2 linked regions of the Pelodiscus sinensis genome follow. The protein of the gene in region 2 interacts with the protein of the main gene of each other region in a pairwise test. Links are inferred from orthologs where the notes say so. Each region holds a gene or a part of one and is shown on either strand. Other genes may lie near its edges.

The links. The genes of interacting proteins can lie anywhere in the genome.
Region 1: the proteins of PPP1R16A (region 2) and TPP2 interact in binary tests that used the Homo sapiens proteins (3 or more experiments, as listed by UniProt). The two-hybrid records come from large-scale screens. The link is inferred for Pelodiscus sinensis from reciprocal best matches to the Homo sapiens genes PPP1R16A and TPP2.

The regions. Positions count from the first base shown.
Region 1 is NC_134711.1:245,943,037-245,951,079, forward strand, and holds the start of TPP2 (tripeptidyl-peptidase 2), read right to left. Parts: upstream 3,019-8,043; 5' UTR 3,009-3,018; coding exon 2,745-3,008; intron 1-2,744. UniProt on the Homo sapiens protein: Cytosolic tripeptidyl-peptidase that releases N-terminal tripeptides from polypeptides and is a component of the proteolytic cascade acting downstream of the 26S proteasome in the ubiquitin-proteasome pathway.
Region 2 is NC_134712.1:1,125,456-1,132,417, reverse strand, and holds the start of PPP1R16A (protein phosphatase 1 regulatory subunit 16A), read right to left. Parts: upstream 3,035-6,962; 5' UTR 2,918-3,034; intron 1-2,917. Other genes in the region: uncharacterized protein LOC142826897, read left to right, coding at 6,858-6,962. UniProt on the Homo sapiens protein: Inhibits protein phosphatase 1 activity toward phosphorylase, myosin light chain and myosin substrates.

The DNA of each region.
Region 1 (8,043 bases), on a different chromosome or scaffold from region 2:
TGCTCCCATACCCTGAGCTCCAATTCCCTGACCGAAATCACAACTCTCTCCTTCACCGAAGCTCCCTCTCAGATTTCACAGCCTCTCTTGCACTCAAGTCCTCCACCCCGAGATACCTTCTGTACTCAATCTCTGTCCCAGACTCCACAACTCCACCATGGAAAAGTGTGGTCTTTGACTAAGGATGTTAAAGGCTGCTATCAGGCTAATCGTATAGTCGATACAAATTGTATCGACTATATGATTAGTTGATAGAACCACTCTACAGAGCTGCATGCAGCAAAGGTAGATCCAGGAGCTGGCTTGAGATTGGACTCAGCAGTCCTGTCTCATGCAGCTCCAGGAGTCGCCATCGCTACAGCTCTGTATTGTAAACTAGCTGGAGTTACCCAGCATTGCTGTGTCCCGCTCCCCACTGGCTTATTCGCTCCCCTATCCCCCAGCCAGCCCTACTTCCTGCTGGCTGGTTCCCCTCTTCCCGATCTCCCACAGCCAGCCCCGCTCCCACCGGCTGCCCCCCCAATATCCCCCAGCCAGCCCCGCTGCCCCCGACCAGATCTGTTTCCCGCCGCCCCGATCTCCCCTGGACTGCCCCGCTGCACCCCACCAACTCTGCTTCCTTCCACCGGCCACCCCCTCCCGATCTCCCCCAGCCAGCCCTGCTGCCCCAGAACTCCCCCGCCCCCCCCAGACCAGCTCTGCTTCCCATCAGCCACCCTTCCCCCGATCAGCCACGCTGCCCATGACCACCCTCAAACCAGCCCTGTTTCCCAGCCCCCCCCCCCTTTCTCCCAGCCAGGACCAGGCCCAGCCCCCCCCCCCCCACCCACCCCCATCAAATGGGGCCGCTTTTTTTATATATATAAAAAGACTACCTGGTAACTGTAGCCACAGGGGGCATGGTTGATGGCTGAGCCGTTATGCGCATGGGGGTGGGGTGAGTCCCGGATGGTGCTTTGGGGCCGCAGGCAGCGGACACGTGACCTAGGGTGGGTAGGGCTGCCCCTGCAGCACAGCACGGCAGGTTATTTTTGATTTTTACAGGTTGAGACCAGGTCCGATCGAGTCCAAAAGTACCTTAACCTTTCCTCCAGGAAAAGGTTTTATCCCATGGAAAGTTTGGTTGCAGTAGGTCTTATAGTGTCCAAGTTATTAGAGCACAAGCATACAAACATTCTCCTTTGTATATTAGATGTAGTAAGAGCCGCTGAGCTCTTACTACATTTAAAATGCAGAGGCACCACAATTATCACAAGTCGGGACTACTCTGTCCTGGATCGCATCAAGTCCAACAGTCCCTGTTTGCAGCAGATAGCCCTGGCTGCTGCAAACAGGGGTGACTTGGCGGCGGCAGCCCCTGTCCACATGGCGGGGGGTGAGGAAGGAGAAGGAGCTCCCCATTGGGATCCCTGCAGACAGGGGCTGCTTCGCAGCAGCCTCCCATATCCCCTCAGAGGGAGCTGGGGGTGGGAGGGAAGCAGACAGCTTTTAAGCTGGCTTCCCCTCCCCCTTGCTGCCTCTCTTCAAGGCAGCAAAAGAGGGGAGGTGCCATAGGGAGCACGGAGGCAGCAGGGACTTAAGTAGTCCATGCTATCCTCATGCTCCCTGCAGCGCTTCTGCTTTTGAAACGTACAAGAGCCCCAAAGGACTCTTGTACATTTTAAAGGCTGAAGCACCGCAGTAGGAACCAACAAGAGAGAGGACTGCTTCAGTGCCTGCTGCACCCCTACCCCCTCTACCCCCAGACACAGTGCTGGGGGCAGCAAATTTAAGGTATCTCCCCACCAGCACCAGCTCCTGCTTCCTCCCTTACTGCCTCTCTGACAGACTAGTCGAGTTACTACTTGACTATCCAATAAGCCTATGCGTATTGGAAAGTTGACTAGTCACTTAGACCCCAATCCTTGACCACTTACCAAGAGTGGTCCTCCCATCAAAAATTGTTGCCCATCTACGCTATAGGTACAAGTTTCTACTCACAACAGAAGAGCCACAAACTGCAGACCTCTTGGCTAGACAAGGTTTATGTTAGAAACAGGTTTCCACCTATAGCAAAACAACTGGAAGCCAAGTCAAGTTTTCCAGTGAGATTAAAAAAAAAAAAAAAAAAAAAAAAAAAGCATTCAGAAAGAAAAGATGAAAATGTGCACCATACTTATTCCCTCCACAAAACAAGTTACATTGCAAGAAATAGTCAGTACAAGAATTTGAATAGCAATGCTCTTATGGCACTTTCTCTTGGCAGATGAAGCTCTTCTGAACATGCACTAGAGATGTTAGATAGCATGGAACTGAATAGTCGTGTAAGTGTCAAATCCAGAGGTCCTGGGTTCCAGCCCCACTGCCCACGGGCTAGCTCTATGCAGTAAGCCACACCTCGGTGTGGAGAGCACGACAATATCCCAAGGAAAGCAGCTCCCCTGGGCTGCAGTGGAGCACCCCAGTAAAACCACAACCAGCATCACTGGGGGCTCAAACCCGCCCGTCTCTCTCGGGGCCCTCTTCTGCCCCGCCCGCCTGCCTCCACGAGCCCCCAGCACCCAAATCGGCCAGGTCCCCGCGACGCCTCCCGCCCCTCCCCTTCCTCCTCCGCCCGGCGCCGTCTCCCCGCCAGTCCCGGGCTGCTCCGGCCCCGCTCAGCTCAACCCCCCGCCCCGCAGGCCTCGGCTGCTGGACGCCCCCCACCGCGCACTATCTAGCTCCCGCGCGGCGGGTCGGCACCCGCGGAGCAGGCCGGCCGGTACCTGCATGCCGGGCGCGCCGGGATCCACGCCGGTGTCCAGCACGGCCAGCAGCACCCCGCGCCCGTCGTACTCCGGGTAGCGGCCGAGGAAGGCGGCGGCGCCCGTCTCTTTCTTCGGCAGGAGCCCGTGGAAGGGGAACGGCTCCTCCGCGGCGGCCGCCATGATGGCAGGGGACAGAGAGACGCGCACGGACCAGCCCCGGCAGCGGCGCCTGGGACGCACCAAGTGACGCGAGTGGGGGAGGAAGGGGCGGAAGTGGCGCATGCGCTCACCCAGCCAATCGGCGGGCGGCCTGCCCGCGCTTTCTAGAGCGCCACGGACGCACAGGCGCCACCCGCCAATTGGAGGGCGAAACGCTCTTGCGCGCGCAGGCGCGCTCCCGCCCTGGAAAGGGCGAATGCGCCTAGTCAGCCAATAAGACGACGGGACACGCGCCGGAGTGCCGTAAAGGAAACCTGCACGGAATCGTCCCGTCTTAAAGAGACAGGCACCTATTTACCACTCTACTTCACCCCCAAGCCTCCTCCTCTGGTCATTATCCCCCCCCTCCTCTTTGAATGGTGCTTCCGCGCCTTCCTGACAGCTGCATGTCACAGAACCATGGAATCCTAGAACTGGAAGGAAAAAAACCCAGGACTGTGTAGCACTTTAAAGACTAACAAGATGGTTTAATAGGGAATGAGCTTTCGTGGGCCAGACCCACTTCCTCAGTGGGTCTGGCCCACGAAAGCTCATTCCCTATTAAACCATCTTGCTAGTCTTTAAAGAGCTACACAGTCCTGGTGTTTGTTTCAGCTGCACCAGACTAACAGGGCTACATTTCTAGCACTATTCTAGAACTGGAAGGGCCCTCTGGGGAGCATTGAGTCCAGCCCCCCCGCCACCCCTACAGCAGGACCAAGCGCTGTCCAGACCATCCCTGATCGCTGTGCCGTGTCTCTGTAATGCGTTCACCCTAAGAACAGACACTTCGTGGGTCCCAGCACAGGATCAGACCCTGCTGCAATCACAGAGCTGGGGAAGGAAGTAGCCAGCCCAGAGATGCAGGTGCAGGTGCTGGGCTAAGCAGGGACGAGCCTAGTGTGGGATTGTCACATGGTTTTCAACTGGAGCATCCTGTCTGAAAGGGGACCTGGTGCTGACCAGAAGTCCAGGGCTATTGCAGGCTGCTTCAGCTCTGGCCTGCTCCCAGAAGTCGCCACCAGATCCCAGCACCCTCTAGTTGCTGGGTCAGCCAGGAACTTGGAAGCTTCAGGAGTTGCCCCATTCCCAAGTGCCAGTTCCACAGCTGCTATTGGCCAGGAACCATGGCCAGTGGGAGGTCTGGGAGAGGTGCCTGTGGGTACAAAAGCAGTATATGGTGCTTCCCTGGCTGCCTTATGCCTAGGAGCTGGAGGGACCTGGTTGTTGCTTCCTGCAAGCTTTGATAAGCAAAGACTGGCTTCCTTCTCCTCAACATTGTGTCCCAGCCTGGAGTCCCCTCCTATACCCAAATTCCCTCCCAGATACTACACCTAAATTCCTACCTGGAGCCTTCATCCCACATCCCATGCACCCAGAGCCCACTTGAGGCCATCACCCCCACACACATCACAACCCTTGCCCCAGCCCAGTGAAAAGACGTGAGGGTGGGGGAGAGAGAATGACAGAAGGAGAGGGAATGGAGTGAGTATGGCTGGGGCAGGGCATTTGCTTTTCTGTTATTAGAAAGTTGTCAATCTTAGCCTGCGCAATCATGTTCAGAAATAGCACATGCCGACCACATCTGGTGCAGGCACCTTGCCTTGTGCCCACTGGAAATGGGCCTAGGTGCCCTCTTCATGCACAGCGCACAACCCTAAGTACATCAGAAGCAGGAAGCTGGATAAACAACCAATGGGACCCTTGGACAATCAAGATGCTAAAGGAGCACTCAAAGATTATAAAGTCATAGCAGAGAAGCTAAATGAATTCTTTGCTTCAGTCTTCACAGCTGGGAGATCCCAAACCTGAGCCATTCTTTTTAGGTGAAAATTTGAGGAATTGTCCCAGATTGAGGTGTCATTAGAGGAGGTTTTGGAACAAACTGATAAACTTAACAGTAATAAGTCACTGGGACCAGATGGCATTCACCCAAGAGTTCTTAAAGAACTCAGATGGGAAATTGCACAACTATTAACTGTGATTTGTAAACTATCCTTTAAATAAGCTTTCGTACCTAATAACTGGAAGATAGCTACCGTGACGCCAATATTTAAAAAGAGCTTTAGAGATAATCCTGGCAATTACAGACTGGTAAATCTAGCATCAGTACTTGGAAAATTAGTTGAAACTATAGTAAAGAATAAAATTGTCAGACACATAGATGAACATAATTTGTTGGGGGAAAGTCAACATGGTTTCTGTAAAGGGAAATCATGCCATACTAATCTGCTAGAGTTCTTTGAGGGGATCAACAAACATGTGGACAAGGGGGACCTAATGGATATAGTATACTTAGATTTCCAGAAAGCCTTTGACAAGGTCTCTCACCAAAGGCTCTTAAGTAAAGTAAGTTGACATGGGATAAGAAAGAAGGTCCTTTCATGGATTTGTAACTGGTTAAAAGACAGGAAACAAAGGGTAGGAATAAATGGTAAGTTTTTCGAGTGGAAAAAGGTAACTAGTGGGGTCCCCGAAGGGCCTATCATGGGATCTAGCCTAGTCAACTTATTTACAAATGATCTAGAGAAAGGGATAAACAGTGAGGTGGCAAAATTTGCAGATGATAGCAAACTACTCAAGATAGTTAAGACCAAAGCAGACTGTGAAGAGTTTCAAAATGATCTCACCAATCTAAGTGATTGGGCAACAAAATGGCAAATGAAATTTAATGTTGATAAATATAAAGTAATGTACATTGGAAAAATAATCCCAACTCTATATACAATATGATGCGGACTAATTTGGCTACAACTACTCAAGCGAGAAATCTTGGAGTCATTGTGGATAGTTCTCTGAAAACATCCACTCAGTGTGCAGCAGCAGTCAAAAAAGCAAACAATGTTAGGAGTCGTTAAAAAAGGGATAGATAATAAGACAGAAAATATCTTATTGCCTCTATATAAAACCATGATATACCCACATCTTGAATACAGCGTACAGATGTGGTCGCCTCATCTTAAAAAAGATATATTGTCATTGGAAAAGGTTCAGAAAAGGGCAACAAAAATTATTAGGGGTTTGGAATAAGTCTCACATGAAGAGAGACTAAAAAGACTTGGACTTTTCATCTTAGAAAAGAGGAGATTAAGGGGGGATATGATAGAGGTCTATACAATTATGACGGATATGGAAAAAGTGAATAAAGAAAAGTTATTTACTTATTCCCACAATGTAATAACTAGGGTTTACCAAATGAAATTAATAGGCAGCAGGATTAAAACAAAGAAAAGAAAGTTTTTCTTTACTCAGCGCACAGTCAACCTATGGAACTCCTTGCCAGAGGATGCGGTGAAAGGCTAGAACTTTAAAAGGGTTCAAAAAAGAGCTAGATAGATTCATGGAGGTTAGGGTTCATTAATGGCTATTAGCCAAGATGGGAAGGAATGGTATCCTGTGCCTCTGTTTCACTGGAGGTGGGTGACAGGGAGGAGATCACGTGAGGATTACCTATTGTGATCCCTCCCATCTGGCATTGGCCAGGTGACAGGATACGGGGCTAGATGGACCTTTGATCTGATCCATTATGGCCGTTCTTATGTTCTTATGTGCACACAGATAGTTAAGTTCACAGCATCAAAGTGGCAGATAAAATTCAATGTCGGTCAATGCAAAGTAATGTACATCGGAAGACATAATCCCAACAATATATACGTAATGATGGGGTATATAGCAGTTATTACCACTCAGGATAGAGATCTTGGGTAAGTGTGGATAGTTCTCTGAAAACATCTGCTCAGTGTGCAGTGACAGTAAAAACCATAGCAGCCTGACAGAAGCCATTAGGAAAGGGATAGATAATAAGAGAAAATACCATAATGTATTAATTCATGCCATGAACACACACTGAAAATTGTGTGCATCTCAAAAAAATGTATATTAGGATTCAAAAGGTGGAGAGAAGGGCAATGAATATGATTAAAGGTCTGGAACAGCTTCCATGTAAGAAGAGATTTCAAAAGCCTGGGATTTTTCAGTTTTGAAAATGGATGATTACAGGCAGATAAGAGAGAGGTATGTAAATCCTGAGTGGTGTGAACAAAGTGAATAAAAACATGTTATTTACTCCTTCACGTAACACAAGAATAAGAGGTCACCCAATTAAATTAATAGGGAGCACATTTAAAAAAAACATAAGGAAGTACTTCTTCACACAAGGCACAATCAACCTGTAATTTTTTTTACCAGAGAATTCTGTGAAGGCCAAAACTATAACAGGGTTCAAAAAAGAATTAAATAAGTTCACGGAGGATAGGTCCATTGTTGGCTATTAGTGAAGATGATCAGACATGCAACCTTGTGTTCTGGCTGCCCCAAGCCTTTGTCTGCCAGAAATTGGGATTGAGTAGTAGAAGATGGATCACTCGATGTTTACATGTTTGTTCATTCCCTCTGAGGCACCTACCATTGGACACTGTTGGATTCTATCTGAGATGCACCATTGGTGTGATCCTGGATGGTTGTTCTTATGGACGCACCGAGGGGCTAGAGTCGCTATTTCTGATTGGAGATATCTCTGGAGGTGTCATCATGTGACATAATATTTTAGTAAAGAGTAATCTTTAATTATTGGAGACTCCCGGACAATCCTGGTAAGATGGCAACTCTACGGCTACGTCTACACTGGCCCCTTTTCCGAAAGGGGCATGCTAATTTTAAACTTCGTAATAGGGAAATCCGCGGGGGAATAGGGCTTTATTCCGGAGGATCGGGCCAGTCTAGACACTCTTTTCCGGCTTTTCTACAAGCCGGAAAAAAGCGGCGGACATCTTTATTTAAATCCCGCGGGGGATATTTAAATCCCCCGCGGATTTTCCTATTACAAAGTTTAAAATTAGCATGCCCCTTTCGGAAAAGGGGCCAGTGTAGACGTAGCCTACAAGTATTGTTACCTTTGTAAAAATTGGCTTTTGCTTCAAAAAATGAGAACTGTTTCCTGTTTGCATAGAGCAGCCTGTCATTATATTGTCATGCTCCAAGTTCTGGGGCAGTATAAAAAGCAAAAGGTCCTTCTCTTTTGCTGGCAGTCTGGGCTGGCCAGTGAAAGAGAAGGACCTCCAGCCAGAGCGCCTTAGCTGCAGCAATCAGGGTATGTCTACACTACCCCGCTAGTGCGAAC
Region 2 (6,962 bases):
AGCCCCTTGTGCCGTGGGCCCGGGGCTGGCGCCGCCGCCCGAGCTGCGTGCCTGGGGCCGGCACCGGCGCCGCACGCCCGCATGTGCCCCGGGGCTGGGGCCGCCCGAGCGCCGCGCACCAGGCGCCGGTGAGTGTCGCGTGCCTGGGGCCGGCGCCTCCAGTGCACCGGGGGCGGGGCCAGCCCGGGTTGTCGGCGGGCGCCTACAAATGCCCCGGCGGGCGCCATGGTGCCCGCAGGCACCGCGTTGGGGACCACTGGTCTAGACAGTACTGGGTCCTGCCGTGAGGGCAGGGGACTGGACTCAATGACCTCTCAAGGTCCCTTCCAGTCCTAGTATTCTATGGTTCTATGATTCTTAATCTCCAACTATTAGTGATTTGGATAAGACCTTCACAAGGAGCAGATTAACCCGTATCTTCTTGCTCTGGGATTTCTTAAACCTTCCTCTTTAGCATCTGGTGTTGGCCACTTTAAGAGACAAGATTCTGACCAGTGATCTGATCCAATCTAGGGATGTTAAATACTCGTTAATTGAATAGTCAAGTAACCTCATGAATTCTTATCAGTTACTCGATTATTCTATAGACCCTTGCAGTGCTTTGTTAAAAAAAAAAAAAAAAGTGCCAGTACTCCAGGGGAAAAGTTGTTGAGCTCTGACTGGAGGTGCGGGTACTACATCTGGAAATGCCGGTACTGCGTCTGGAAGTGCCGGTACTGAGTACCTGGCAGTACCATCACAAAAACACTGGACCCCGAGGGTGGGGCCAGCAGGCAGTGCACTCCAGCCCCACACCTGAGGAGCCTCCTGCCACTCGGCGCTGCTGCCTCTATAATATTTAATATAATAGAGGCAGCAGTGCAGGGTGTCAGGCAGGAGCTGGTCTATGAGGGGAGGCAGTTGAAAAACCAGCTCCCCTCGCAGACCGGCTGCCTGTCACAGAGGCAGCAGCCCGGGATGACAGCAGCCCCTGTCCAGGGGTGGGGCTGAGCTCCTGAACACAGCACAAGCTGGACTGCCTGCCCACCTGGCTCCTAATACACTTTAAATGCAGAGCCACAGCGGGGGTAGGTCCCGGATCCAACGAGAAGCAGGACTGAGCTGGCCTGCTGGCCAGCCTGCTAAAAAATTTACTGGCAAGAGGGGCTGGGAAACGTGTGTAGTTTATAGCGTTAACCGATACGCTTTTGCTTATAGTTAATCGACTACACTGTTACATCTCTAATCCAGTCCATTCCACGGAAGCATCAGCAGTGGGGCAGGGAGGGAACCGGCCATTAGAGTCCCCTCTGAATCATAGCAATTAACTGGACTGGACTAGAAAAACATGGCTGCAGGCCTTTCATTCTGATCAGGAAAGGAAAGGGTGCTGGTTAGAAGGTGCAAGAAAAATACCGCAAAAGGCACTGAAATGACACACAAGTGTTGGAGCTCCAAGAGAACAGGAAGGGCAGAGTGAAATTAGACACTGCGACCACACTTGCTAACGCAAGCGGAGTGAAGTACCTGGACAAAAGAACAAAGCTGAGAAAATCAATGGCTGACCAAGTTCCGTGTCTCTCTTACATGTTGCATGTCCATCCCTTTCTGTAGGACATTTGATTAGACTGTAGGCAAGGACCTCATTTACATGTTTACACGGCACCCCGCACAATGGGGCTCTGATCCAGACTGGGGCCACAGGAACATAAACGTGAACTAACACGTGAATAGCCATCACCCCCTACCCACATTCTCATTTGCACAACAGGTCTCTGCTCCAGCTGAAGTTTCACCAGCTGGGCAACACCCCTCTCAAATCCTGATATGGGAAAGCGGGGAAGGGAAATAGTCTGCCACCTTCACAGCCCCTATGAATTCTCTTCTGCGCTCACTTGGCTCAAGACCAACTGGGCTCCCCCACTGCCCCCCGAAGTGTCAGCAGACAGCGAAACGAGGGAAACAACAGAGCCCCCAGGGTTCCCAACGTCACTTAAAAACATCGGTAACAGTGTCCCCGCCCCCGCCACACGGGACACCTGCCCAGTCTATAGGTTGTCCCAGCCCCCCATCACAGAACCTCTAATCCCACCCCCCCACTGCCTCCCCCAGAGCCCTCAGTCCCCCCCACAGCCCCCCCATCACAGAACCCCCAATTCCACCCAATCCCCCACTGCGCCCACCAGGGCCCTCAGTCCCCCCCACAGCCCCCCATCACAGAACCCCCAATCCCGCCCCCCCACTGCCCCCACCAGGGCCCTCAGTCCCCCCCACAGCCCCCCATCACAGAACCCCCAATCCCACCCAATCCCCCACTGCGCCCACCAGGGCCCTCACTCCCCCCCACAGCCCCCCATCACAGAACCCCCAATTCCACCCAATCCCCCACTGCGCCCACCAGGGCCCTCAGTCCCCCCCACAGCCCCCCATCACAGAACCCCCAATCCCGCCCCCCCACTGCCCCCACCAGGGCCCTCACTCCCCCCCACAGCCCCCCATCACAGAACCCCCAATCCCACCCAATCCCCCACTGCGCCCACCAGGGCCCTCACTCCCCCCCACAGCCCCCCATCACAGAACCCCCAATCCCACCCAATCCCCCACTGCGCCCACCAGGGCCCTCACTCCCCCCCACAGCCCCCCATCACAGAACCCCCAATTCCACCCAATCCCCCACTGCGCCCACCAGGGCCCTCAGTCCCCCCCACAGCCCCCCATCACAGAACCCCCAATCCCACCCAATCCCCCACTGCCCCCACCAGGGCCCTCAGTCCCCCCCACAACCTCCCCATCACAGAACCCCCAATCCCACCCCCCCATTGCCCCCCCAGGGCCCTCAGTCCCCCCCACACAGAACCCTCTCCGCACCCCCCCACCAGGGCCCAGTCCCCCCACAGCCCCCGTATCACGTGACCCCTCCGCAGCCGGCCGCGCTCACCCGCCGTCGGCAGGAGCCGGGCCGCTCTCCGGCTCTGTCCCGCAAGGGCGGGTCCCCACGGCGCCTCGCCATAGCAACCAGCCACACTTCCGCTAGGGGCGGCGCTCCCGCCGGAAGTGGCCGGCTCGGCGCGGCCGCCGGCGCGAGCGAGCGGAGGTGGGCGGGGCCACGGGCGCGCGGCGAGGGGGCGGGGCCTGAGAGGCAATGGGACCCGCATGCCCCGGGATCCTGGCCAGGGCCCCTCCCCCCGCGAGGGCGTGGCCGGTCCCTAGCTCCGCCCAGCTGGGCCCCTCCCCCCGCGAGGGCGTGGCCGGTCCCTAGCTCCGCCCGTCTGGGCCCCTCCCCCCGCGAGGGCGTGGCCGGTCCTTAGCTCCGCCCAGCTGGGCCCCTCCCCCCGCGAGGGCCTGGCCGGTCCCTAGCTCCGCCCAGCTGGGCCCCTCCCCCCGCGAGGGCCTGGCCGGTCCCTAGCTCCGCCCAGCTGGGCCCCTCCCCCCGCGAGGGCCTGGCCGGTCCCTAGCTCCGCCCAGCTGGGCCCCTCCCCCGCGAGGGCGTGGCCGGTCCCTAACTCCGCCCAGCTGGGCCCCTCCCCCCGCGAGGGCCTGGCCGGTCCCTAGCTCCGCCCATCTGGGCCCCTCCCCCCGCGAGGGCGTGGCCGGTCCCTAACTCCGCCCAGCTGGGCCCCTCCCCCCCGCGAGGGCCTGGCCGGTCCCTAACTCCGTCCAGCTGGGCCCCTCCCCCCGCGAGGGCCTGGCCGGTCCCTAGCTCCGCCCAGCTGGGCCCCTCCCCCCCGCGAGGGCCTGACCGGTCCCTAGCTCCGCCCAGCTGGGCCCCTCCCCCCCGCGAGGGCGTGGCCGGTCCCTAGCTCCGCCCAGCTGGGCCCCTCCCCCTGCGAGGGCCTGACCGGTCCCTAGCTCCGCCCAGCTGGGCCCCTCCCCCCCGCGAGGGCCTGGCCGGTCCCTAGCTCCGCCCAGCTGGGCCCCTCCCCCCGCGAGGGCCTGGCCGGTCCCTAGCTCCGCCCAGCTGGGCCCCTCCCCCTTGGGCCCTGCTGTCCAGCGGGCTGCTCCAGGCTGCCCAGGCCGGTCTCCCCCCCAGCTCAGGCTGTGCCCGCAGTGCCAATGCCGCCTGCCTCCCTGGAAGGTCCCTTCCCCCCTTCCTGACACTTGGGACCAAGCCCTAGCGCAATAGGAGCCCCAGAGGAGAAGGGGGCTGGCGGGGGCGGGGGCTAGTCCCACCCCACAGGCAGCTGAGCGATCGGCCCAGCAGATGGGCTGGTAGAAGATGCTAATTGCCGTAGCCATTAGGAAGATCGCTCCCCACTCTCTCCCCCCCCCCCCCCCCGATGAGCCAGTGACTCAGCTAGCTGGTCCCTCCCGCCCTCTCACCCCACCTTCCGGACTAAATCTGATCTGTCAGTTTAACAACGGGTTCACTTTTCCATTGTATCCTTTGGTATACGTGGTCCTGCCAATTCTCGTCCAGAATTTGATCTGAGGAAGTGGGGCTGGCCCACGAACGCTCATCCCCTAATAAACCATCTTGTTAGTCTCTAAAGTGCTGCCCAGTTTCTCCTTTTGTTTTATCGACATGTTTCCTTAGTCAAAGTGCTACCAGACCATTCGCTGCTTTTTCTGCCACAGACTCACTCGGTTGCCCCCTCAAATTCCTTTCGCAGGCAGCTGCATTTGAAGGGAACCTCCTGGATCCTAGCCCAAGTCACCAGACCTCCTCCCCCATCCCAGCCCCTCAGTGCCATGACATTTCCACCCTGTCCCTTGGTGGCTTCCCTCTGCGGCTGCCTGGAGGGTGAAGGGTTTCCCTGCCGCGCAGGAGCTACGCTCGCCGGCCTTAGGGCTGGCGGCTGCTGTGTCTCTATCCTTTGCTTCGGACAGCTGCCCTAGCCTAGCCAGTCTCCCTGAGCGCTGTATGCTCTAGCCAAGAGATTTCCAAAGGCGGGGGCCCCGACAGCAGGGTATGACTGCTGGCTCCTGACCCATATTCTACCCCCCCACCCCACTGGGGCTACATAACGCTGCTCCCTGCAGCATTCCTGGGCTCACACAGGGGCTGTCTCTAGACTGGCCAGTTTTTCTGGAAAATCAGCCGCTTTTCCGGAAAAACTTGCCAGCTGTCTACACTGGCCGCTTGAATTTCCGCAAAATCACTGACTTCCTACGGTAAGAAATCAGTGCTTCTTGCGGGAATACTATGCTGCTCCCATTCGGGCAAAAGTCCCTTTTGCACAAAACTTTTGCGCAAAAGGGCCAGTGTAGACAGCTCAGATTTGTTTTCTGCAAAAAAGCCCCGATTGCGAAAATGGCGATCGGGGCTTTTTTGCAGAAAAGCGCGTCTAGATTGGCCACGGACACTTTTCCGCAAAAAGTGCTTTTGCGGAAAAGCGTCCGTGCCAATCTAGACGCTCTGTTCCAAAAATGCTTTTAACGGAAAACTTTTCCGTTAAAAGCATTTCCGGAAAATCATGCCAGTCTAGACATAGCCAGGGAGTAGCTCTCCAGCAGGCTGGCAGGCCATGGGGACCGGTGGCCCAAAGCGCAGGTAGCCAGCCACAGACACGCAGCAGAGAAGGACAAGCAGGAACAGCTCTAGAGCTGGACAGAAAAAGGAGAAGAGGCATGGGGGGGGGAACCCCAAAAGCAGAGGGGAAAGGAGACAAGAAGGGAAAGGGCAGCAAGGAAAAGCCGGGAGAGGCAGCGGCGGGCCAGGCGGGGAAGGCTGAGGCAGGCCGGGAAGGGCCAGGGGAGCTGATGCGGCTGCCCGAGTTCACCCGTTCATTTCCTGCCAGTGTCCCCGAGCCGGGCTTTGTGAAAGCCGTTCCCAAGCACGCTGGCCGGCCCAGCGCCCCGAGGCCGCACCGGTGTCTCACTGCAGCCAGGGTTAGCAGCTCACCTCCCTAGGACACGGGGTGCCAGGGAGCAGGCCTGGGCCTCGCCGCACAGCAGGCCAGAAGAACATCGAGAGTCCCCTGAGCCGTGCCAGGGCTTCCGAGGCAGCTCCCGATTGTAGCTGTGAAGAAGGCACTAGGATCCGTGCAAATTCACCAGGGAAAGCGCCCCCTTCTGGGCGACCTCGCTGATGCCTGCAGCCTGGCACCCTCCTGTCCTGGGGCTTTGGAGTTGGCCTTGACAGCAAGGCAGCCTCCCCTCCCGGGTCATGCACCCCTCGATCTGTGCTGGGGCTTGGGTGGGCCCTGACGGCAAGGCGAGGCAGCCTCCCCCCACCCCGTCCTGCAGCCCTGGCTCCTGATGGGGGTGGGGCACCGTCCCCGGGGGTGGCACGCAGGCCATTTCCAGAGAGAGAATGAGCTGGCTCTGCAGCCGGGATGGGCAAGCATTTTTCAAGAGCAGCCACTTCGCAAATTGTTACAGTCGGCCGCCCTGGAAGGGGCGGGGCCTCAGACAGAAAGGGCGGAGCCAGGACACTTCTCATGCTCCCCCATCCCCAGGTCTCGATTGGCCGGGGGGGGGGGGAGTGGCAAGGCAGCTGCAGGCCGGGTGAGTCCGGCCCCTGGAAGCTGTCTTGCCCACCCCTGCCCTACCGCCTAAGCTGAGCGCCAGCTGGCTTTTAGCCCAAGCTGTAGCGCCTCCTGCCCTGAGCTCCGGAGGTGCCCGGTTCGGGCCCGCCTGTCGGCGCTTCGCTGGCTCAGGACAGCAGCCCCCGCGGCTTCCCCAGGGGGTCTCCCCTTCCAGCCTGACGCCGCGAAGCCTTCGGGAGCCAACTCTCCACGGTGCCGAAGGCTCCCGGCTCCGTTAGGCAGCGCAGCTGGCGTTCAGCCCCCAGCATGCTTTGCAGGCTGAGTCTCGCAGGGGCGTTCTGCTGACATCACAATGGGGAGACTTCACAGCCCCTGGAGCTGGGTCCAGAGACATCCCCCAGCACAGGCTCCAGGCTCCGCCTTTCCCCACGGCCTGCCGGAGCCCCGGCCATGGCCCAGGCAGGGCCAGCGTGGGGCACAGCCCCCCACGCCTGCGGGAAAGGAGGGCCCTGTGGCAGAATAGACCGAGCCGGGCTCCTCCCTTCCTGCGAGGAT